2 linked regions of the Danio rerio genome follow. The protein of the gene in region 1 binds, or shares a complex with, the protein of each later gene. Links are inferred from orthologs where the notes say so. Each region holds a gene or a part of one and is shown on either strand. Other genes may lie near its edges.

Region 1 (4,324 bases):
AGTTTATTTAAAATATTGATTAGAGGAGCGTTACCTAATAAATATCCAGGCCTGTAGCCAGCCTATTGTAAATAAGAGTGGTTCTTTTTTTCTGAAAAAGTGGACCTTTTTGCAGTTATTGTCGTCATTTAAGAACTAATCTTTGCTCCATAAGCTTGTTGGATGGTGATCATAACCACACTATTTTTGATGCACCAAAAATGTTTTCAATTTATATACAATTTAAATATTGTTATGTGATTATCATTAAAAAGTGAATATGAAAAAAACTTATTATCAAATTTATTATCCATCATTAAAAATAAAAATCTGGTAAAACTGGTTTAAAAAAATGGCATATAGGCAAATAACAAACTGGCTAGCTCATTCAACTTCCCTGTCAAAATTTGGCTACTTGAATAATTAAACATTTAATTTGTCTTAAAGCCTTTTCTATTGATCCTTTTCACAATTTATAATGGCATAGCAGTCAAAAATTTGATAATTTTTTCTATGGAGGACGAAACCTGCAAAAACAGTAATTAAATAAATACCCAAATAAATAAATAAATGAGTAAATAAATCCATAAATCCCTGCATAAATAAAATAATAAATAAATAAATGTGTGTAAAAATCCACAAATTTCTGCATAAACAAGTCTATACATAATTAATAGTGCGGGCAGGTAAATAACTAAATAAGTTACACGAGGGGAATAAGAAAAAGTTTATTTTAATTAACGTTTGAAAGAGAGGAAAAATAAACTTTTAATTTAGCATTTTCTTATTCCCCTCGTGTAATTTTTTTAGTTATTTACCTGCCCACACTATTAATTATTTAAATATTTATTTTAGCAGGAATTTGTGGATTGTTTATATACATTTATTTCTTTATTTGCATATTTATTTATTTAATGTTTTATTTAAGCGAGAATTTATGGATTCATTTACTCATTTATTTATAATTTGCGTATTTATTCATTTATTTATTTATTGTTTTTGCAGGTTTCGTCCTCCATACTTTTCTCAATGGTAGGCTACTTAAAGAACTAGATATTTATTTAAATACCATTAGGAGAGTACAAACAAAAAAGCTGTTATATCTGTTGACACATTTAAATTAGCAAGGCCTAGCATTATTTGTAATAGTTTGTCTATTTTATTATGTTTTACCTACTGTGTTGTTGTACTTTTATTACTCTATTATGTTTTTCATATTTGTTGCATGAATTAAAAAGCAGCTGCAGATACGCATGCGCACATCAATATATCACAGCATACGTTTTGCGACACTTCAACAATAATAATCGTTTTTACGTTACTGTGAGGGCAGACGTTAAGTAAAATAAAATTAAATAGGTAAAATTATGAAAAATACAATAATTCTCGTTAATTTGATCGTGACATTTTAACGGATATGACGTACACGGAAAAGCGTATGTATTTTGTCATGTGATGCTCGCACAGAAACGCAAGAGAAGAACTTTTATAAAGCGTTGAGTTCAGTTGATGGTAAGTCTGTTGCCTTTTGTGTATTATGACTTTAATAGATGCTTTCTGGGTTTATAACAGTTTCTGGATTAGACATGTCTGCAGTTAGTAAGTAACGTTAAACATGTTGCCAAAGATGCTGGTAAAATGCTGTTGTAATGTCGTATAATCTTCTACGAAAATTAACCATGGTTTTACTATAGTAAACGTGTAGGAATTATGGTTTATCTACGTATTGATTACCAATTTTTATACGTTAACTATAGCTTTATTACTGTTGCATGCTTAATTCGTGTTTACCTTGGATTAACTAAAGTTACCATGGTGTTTGCTTTTATTTGTAGTAAAACCATGGTTAATTTTCAATTAGGGTAAAGTTGGTTTTATTTTCACACATTTCGACATTCTCCTTAATAAAATAATTTCTGAAACGTATTCTTTGCAAATACTAAGTAGTGAAATCATATTAGCAGTCAACATCAGACTACACGATTGTTTTTAGTCAAATAAATAGTGGTAATGTTATTTTGAAGTCATTCTTACACATATTTTTCAGACCCAATGTTTTAAAGTACCATGGTAAACAATATATGGGACAAAATCAAGTTATCACTGAACGAATATGCAAATATAAAACCAAGTTTACCTCAATTTCCTATGTTGTTTACCATGGTACTTTGAATATTCAATCTGAAATCACGTGCAAGTATGACCAAAGACTATAGAACACATATAATACAGTATGCCTTAAAGGGACTTTGGTAGACTTGAAAACAACATTAGCACTATTTATTTGACTGTGAACAATGTTGTACTTTGATAGTCATAGGCTGCTAATATGATTTCACTATTTAGAATTTGGAAACAACACTTTTCTGAAGTTATACCATTAAGAAGAATGTGCGAATATAAAACCAACTTTACCTCAATTATTTTCATGCCATGTCCTTTACTTTTCAACTTTTTCCCTAGAGTGTGCTGCAGGCGACGTACATAATCAGTCCAATGAATATGGCAGATGTGAGTATATTTGTAAATTAATTTTCTGGTAGTGAATTTCTCATGAGTCTAATAATGTGTTTTGACTTGATTCTTGCAGAATCTCAGAAGCTATTTGTATAAACAACTACCAAGGTAAAGACATTCTTTTTGTATTTTAGACACATTTTATTTCATTCATTGCCAGATGTAATGAATGCTGATTTCTTTATTTTTAATCTGTCATCAGTGTTGAAGGACTTCATGCAATTGTGGTGACAGATAGAGATGGGGTCCCTGTAATCAAAGGTGAAAACCAGATCTCAGATTTTTACATTTTTGTGCATACTACTGGTCAAATGTATAAAAACAGTAAGATTTCCTTTACTTCATTTAATTAAAACATGAATGTAGCAACAACAAAAAAAAAGTTTATTCCTTTGAATCAAAGTTAAATTGTGAGTATCATTACTTTCTTTAGTCTTCAGTTGGGCTGCACGATATTAGAAAAATCAAGCATTGCGATAATTTTTTATTTTGCGATTTGAATACAGTTTCACCAGATTACTTGAATATCTCTATTTGGAAAGATTTTATAATATTAGATCGATTGGGATGATTCTGCAATGGGAGTGTATCTCCATAAAATACAATAATCTATAAACGTTTTGGGGCCCCTTACACATTTTTCATGTGGTCTGTGCTATTTGCAGAGCATTTCTGTATTTGCATGTGTTGTGAGTATTTTCATGCACATGTTTAATCAGCGATTGATGAATTAATGTTAACTATTTGTATCTCAATAAAATCGAATGAACAATCTATATACTTTTTGGGTCCCCCGACACATTTTCCATGTGGTTTGTGCTAGTTGCAATTCACTTCTGTATTTGCATGTGTTGTGAGTATTTTCATGCACAACAATCTATAATTGCAATCAAGAAAAAGATACAACTGAAAAAGTGTTTGATTGTTTCAGTATTTCCGTTTAAGAATTGAATTTATTGAAAGGGATAGCCCCTTGAGATGAATCATCTCATTTTCGAGGGGGTCCCTAAAAAGTTCATAAATCAAAGAGTACAACACATCATAACGTACATACACTTAACAAGACAAACTAACAATCAAACAAGCAGCACACTCCGCCTGAAACACTTCCCACAATCTTAAGCCTAAATAAACAAAAACATATAATCAAAAGTACTAACAATTTGATATACAAATAAATAATAAACATTTAATTTGGAGTCAATATTAATAACATTCGCAAGTTGTTTCCAAAAAAGAAAATAAATTAGCTCGAAAAGACTAAGTGATTTAATTGATCCAAAAAAAAGAAGGGAGATCGTTCCAGTCGGAAGGAGCTTTGTATCGAAAGGACCTACGGCCACTTTCTGTAGAAATTCTGGGAACAAAAAAATAATTCTGTTGCATATGACGAAGCGAATATGATGAGGTAAATGGAACAAAAAGCTGCTTTAAATAAAGAGGGGAAACTAAAATAAACACATTTAAAAAGAAACAAATACCAATGATACTGTCTGCAGAACTTAGGTTGAAGCAAACCAAGTGTTTCGTATAATATTGAATGTTGGGCTCTATAAGGACATCTTAAAACAAATTGACACAAAGAATTGAAGCAGTATTTAAAGGTTTTAAATTAACATCAGAGGTAATGTCATAAATAATATCAGCATAATCAATAATAGGAAAAATTAATTGAGAGATCAATTTTATTCTTACTTTAAATGAAAAACAATTAATAGAACGATAAAAAGAACCTAAGCAGCGATATGAATTTTTAATTATAAAATCAATTTAGTAAAAAATTCAGTTTGGTAACTGAATAATAAATATAAAAGTAGTTCTATAAAAT
Region 2 (4,578 bases), on another chromosome or scaffold:
ATATTTACAGTATTTTATTACTTTTGTCTGTTTTTTTAACAGTATTTCAGTTTTAAGCCACAGTTTGAAAAAATGTCATGAATTCAACATAAATTTAATAAAGGCATTTCTTATTCTGGATCCAATTCTTTGCAAAAAGGCAGCCCAAATAAAAAGACAACAAATGGCATTGGCAATAGGTTACAATGGCAAGCAATGGTGCACTGATTCACACTGAGGTCTGTATTTTGTATTTTGTTGTTCATTGTGTAATGGTTAATTGAAAGAGCTCATATACTTGTTAGCAAGTTGTGTTGTTTGAAGGTTAAAATAGCTTTTGTTGCATATTTTAAATGTTTTGACACGGCATGTGCATTTTGCAACCAAAATGTGTTATTTTGACCATGAGTGCCGCTGTTTAGGCCTGTGTTTTAACTGTTTTAAAAATGTGGAGTTTCAGTTGACGGCTGCATGAAAGCAATCCAAGGAAAACTGTAAAATAAATTAAGCAAAATATCTTATTAAAAGACTTAAACTGCACAAAAATCAGTAGTCTAAAAATCCATATATATTTAAATGTATATATATACCCACACGCAAAAATAATAATATTGTAATGAAACTATATTTATAAAAATAAATCGATCATCAATAGACAGAAGTTAAGGAATTAAATTAACCCTATAAAAATGATATTCATCAAATATAAGGCTGCATCCAGTCAGGAAAGATTAAACTGTTCTGATGGGCTCTAGAGAGGCAGAAACAGGCAGCTATTATTCTGCCAGCTTATTTGCATGTATATTGACTTTGCTAACCTGATTCATGCTTTGCACTTTGCACAACTTGTGTAATAGTATATTTTATAATATGCTTCGCATATAGTTAAGCAAACATATAGTTAATGGATGTGACAGAGAAAAAATGTGTCTCATGTCAAACCCGGCTCTTAAACCAACCTCACAAACTATAAAAGAGAGTGCTTCAATATCTTGAGTTAAAAATGGAAAAGACTGTCTGATAAAGAGCTTGAGCTCAGACACAATTGACGGTGGTCTTTTATTGTGCGTCTGGTCAGGGGACAAGGTCATTTAGAGAGATACCAACACCGAAGATTCACACGTTCCTCTGGGAGTTCTCATTGACAATGCCAGCTAAATGTTAACCACATGTAGCCTACTTGCTTTTTAGAGCATTGAATGGTTTGTAAAGAATTTATTATTTGTTCAACATAAAAACGAGGATATAGAAGATCTAGACTCTGAATTATAGGTGATCAGTCAATAGCAGTGCTGCAGGAACATTCATTTATTCCAACAGCTGCATATTAATAAATTCAAGCTTTTCATTTTGGTTCAGAAATAGTCACTCTTCTACTTAGCATTTATTTCTCCTGTGGGACTTGTGGTATAATTGGTATTCTTTTGAGAATGTCTTGTGTGTTCATTTTAGTTTAATTAAAATGTTTAACCCAAAAAATTATATTGTATGACTGACTACTTGTCGAGGTTTAGCAGCAAACAAAAGAGGACCATTTACCTACCATCCTGACTTGAGTAAGATGGCGCTAGATCCTATTTGCTTGTTGTCCCTTAGAGGGCGCCGTAGTGTTAAGTCGCGTGTTAAACTGTCAGCTGACATCCCGGAAGTTATCCAAGTAACAAACATCGCTGCCAGTTTCTGAACATTTCGTGTTTCTTATTAGTTTAATAGCCTTATTTAGGACGCTGTTATGGAGGGTGCACTGGAGCAGCATCTTGACGATACGTATGTTTAAAAAGAAACCACTTTCTTTTCTTACGCATGTAACGTTACTCGTTTTGCGTCTTCATTTACTGATCTCCTTTCTCACTCTAGGATGAAAAATCCAGCTATTGTTGGGGTTTTGTGCACAGACGCTCAAGGACATAATCTAGGGTGTAAGTAATTTTTATATTTTCCTTAATACTTCCCTTAGTATAGTTTTCCTCTGGTGACCATGATTTGCTTGGTTTACATGTACTGGGTTTTCACTTGCAACAAGAGGTTAATATTGCTTTTAATATTTACACATGTGTTGAAGGTATGTAAAACGTTTTGAATTTTTATTAGTTTGATTTGTTTCTCAAAACAGGGAACGGGTGTCTACTGTGGACAACTTTATAACTGTGTTATTGACCAACTTAAAGTTAACTGAAACAATGGTAAACAAAAAAACATGGTTAACTGGGAGAAAATACAAGCCTATTCAAATGTAATTATGCAAAAAAAATGTAAAGTAAAATTAAATGATGTATAGATATAGTTTGAGTAGTAAAATCTATAATGGCATGTGTAGTATTAAAAATATTAATCTGATAAATTAATTCAACTTGAGCATTTTAAGCCTGCTTTTTCAGTGTATTACCATGTGCAAAACAATATACAATTTAAAACTTTTCAACAAAATATAGGGTTATAGAATTGTGCTTTATATAGATTCTCAGTTGACTCTTTTCCATTTGGTTTCCAGAACTTGAAAATATACTGTAATTCTCAATGACATTACAAATATTTTAATCTCCAGGCCGGGGCTCACTATCTGATGAACATGGAGGAGTTGTATCTGTACTGGCCAAGCAGGCTGCTTCTCTAACCAAAGATGCCACCGACTGTCCTACAGTGTGCCTGGAGTCTGACTGTGGGTAAGGAAAGCTTCTTGACCAGCATCTGTCTTATTTCTATGTATCTTGAGAATTTTTTGATTTGAGAGACAACAAAACAATCTGCAGAAATCGATGACATTAATTAAGAAAGTTAAATGAGGGAAAGTCAGTTAAACAACAATCTTTGAAAGTCATTCATCCCATTATACCTTCCCTCTTCCACACACACCAGTTGTCACTAAAGTGTATATATAGTGACGTGTAATAAGTATTGAAACTATCAAATTGGCGTGTGACTTTCTCAGAAAGTATTCCATTCATTTTAATTCATCAAGGATTAATATTTTGTGCTGGTCATTTGGTTGCTTTAGAACTGTCTTGGATCAATATCACTCAAAACCACCAATAGATGGCGGCAAGTCTTAATGAGTGATTCATTGAATCATTGATATTTGTAGTATGGATATAATTATAGAGAGGCATATGATTTCTTATGAGTTTTTGGGGGTTTATTATTTTAAAAAAAGCACTATTATCAAGTAAATGTTTTTAAGTAATGGTTAATTTTTTGCCACTATCATTATGGATATTCAATCAAAAGTAATGAAAGCAATGGAACCATTTCAATATAATGCATGGCATATGTATTACTAATTAATAGATGTAATTCATCTTTTTTTAAAGTTAATGCGGATGGGTTTAAACAAAGTAAATCAATTGATTTTAACATTATAATTCCTGTACACAGTAGTTAATAAAGATTGAACATTTAACTAAACGGTTTTAAAAATGTCTGCACAGCCACAAATTTGTTGGCAATATGCTAAAAGAATGTAACTTGCCATTAAACAAGAACAACGAAAAAATAAAAGGCGCTCTTTTTTTTTTTTTTTTTAGCATTAATTTCTCACCCATGACTTGTGGAATTGCTATTCTTTTGAGAATGTCTTGTGTGTTTATGGTTGGCAGATTCTTAAGTTGACTGAACTTGCCACCAGCTGTGATTTTTAGAAACTGATATACCTGGAGTAAGCACCGTCTGACCTGGGATAGGGAAGAGCAGGGCACAAAGTAACACTTTTTGGTTTTGGCCAAATAATGAACAAAGTAATGGGCTTAGACAAACCATTTTTTGTACCAACAACACACAAACTGTCTCCTACAGTTTCTGTGCAGTATTGCCAAAAGTGCCAGGAGCAAAAATGTTACTATTTGCCCCAGCAGTGGGGCACGTTGTAACAAACAGAGGGTAAGTTGTAACGCATGCTTACAAAGGCAGATTCCACACAGTTAATTTAATTTCTGTTTACTTTAAATAGTAGCTATATTTCCTCAGTACTTGGCTCAATTTATTTTGTGTTATACATAGCACAGCATGTTTATTTACTTATTTATCCACTTAATGAACACATTTGGATTTTTTTTTTGCATTATTATAAAATGCGTTTATTTGCATTATTAGCAATAAAACTAATTTTTTCTATTAAAAAATATATATTTTCTATAAAAAAATCATGTTTATTTAAAAAGTTCTCAACATTACATTATCAAAAATAAAAAATAAAAATATTCAGTTAGTTTAATTGGTGTCCAACAGTGTGTGGCTTAATTGTAACACCCTGTTACAACTAACCCTGCTGTGTCGTGTTTTCTTCAAAACTGACTAGCAGTCACTGTCTTTTTACATCTTTCAAAATGGTTTCATCTTTTAGCCTAGAAGATGGTAATCACAGCAATATAAGATTTTTTCGTACATGCTTTCACAGATGTTTTTTTAAGTAAAACAAATTTGCTGTAATAAAAAATACTGCAAACTGCTGGAAAAATGGTTTCTGTGTTTCTCGTCCAATTTTCAACAAACTTTTTCAATAATTGGCAGGAAGATGTCTGCCGACGCTGTGGTGAAAATTTTGGAAGCATGCCATGGTTAACCCTGAGCAAAAACCTTAAAATTGTTACATTTTACCCCACGTTA

What was found.
Region 2: lamtor3 (region 1) and lamtor5 share a complex: the UniProt entries of both Homo sapiens proteins name them as parts of the ragulator complex. The link is inferred for Danio rerio from reciprocal best matches to the Homo sapiens genes LAMTOR3 and LAMTOR5.

What each region holds. Positions count from the first base shown.
Region 1 is NC_133188.1:12,903,003-12,907,326, reverse strand, and holds the start of lamtor3 (ragulator complex protein LAMTOR3), read left to right. Parts: upstream 1-1,418; 5' UTR 1,419-1,491; intron 1,492-2,442; exon of another isoform or gene 2,443-2,444; 5' UTR 2,445-2,481; coding exon 2,482-2,490; intron 2,491-2,569; coding exon 2,570-2,604; intron 2,605-2,698; coding exon 2,699-2,757; intron 2,758-4,324. UniProt on the Homo sapiens protein: As part of the Ragulator complex it is involved in amino acid sensing and activation of mTORC1, a signaling complex promoting cell growth in response to growth factors, energy levels, and amino acids.
Region 2 is NC_133183.1:26,634,786-26,639,363, forward strand, and holds the start of lamtor5 (ragulator complex protein LAMTOR5), read left to right. Parts: upstream 1-1,585; 5' UTR 1,586-1,711; coding exon 1,712-1,746; intron 1,747-1,836; coding exon 1,837-1,898; intron 1,899-2,524; coding exon 2,525-2,642; intron 2,643-4,578. UniProt on the Homo sapiens protein: As part of the Ragulator complex it is involved in amino acid sensing and activation of mTORC1, a signaling complex promoting cell growth in response to growth factors, energy levels, and amino acids.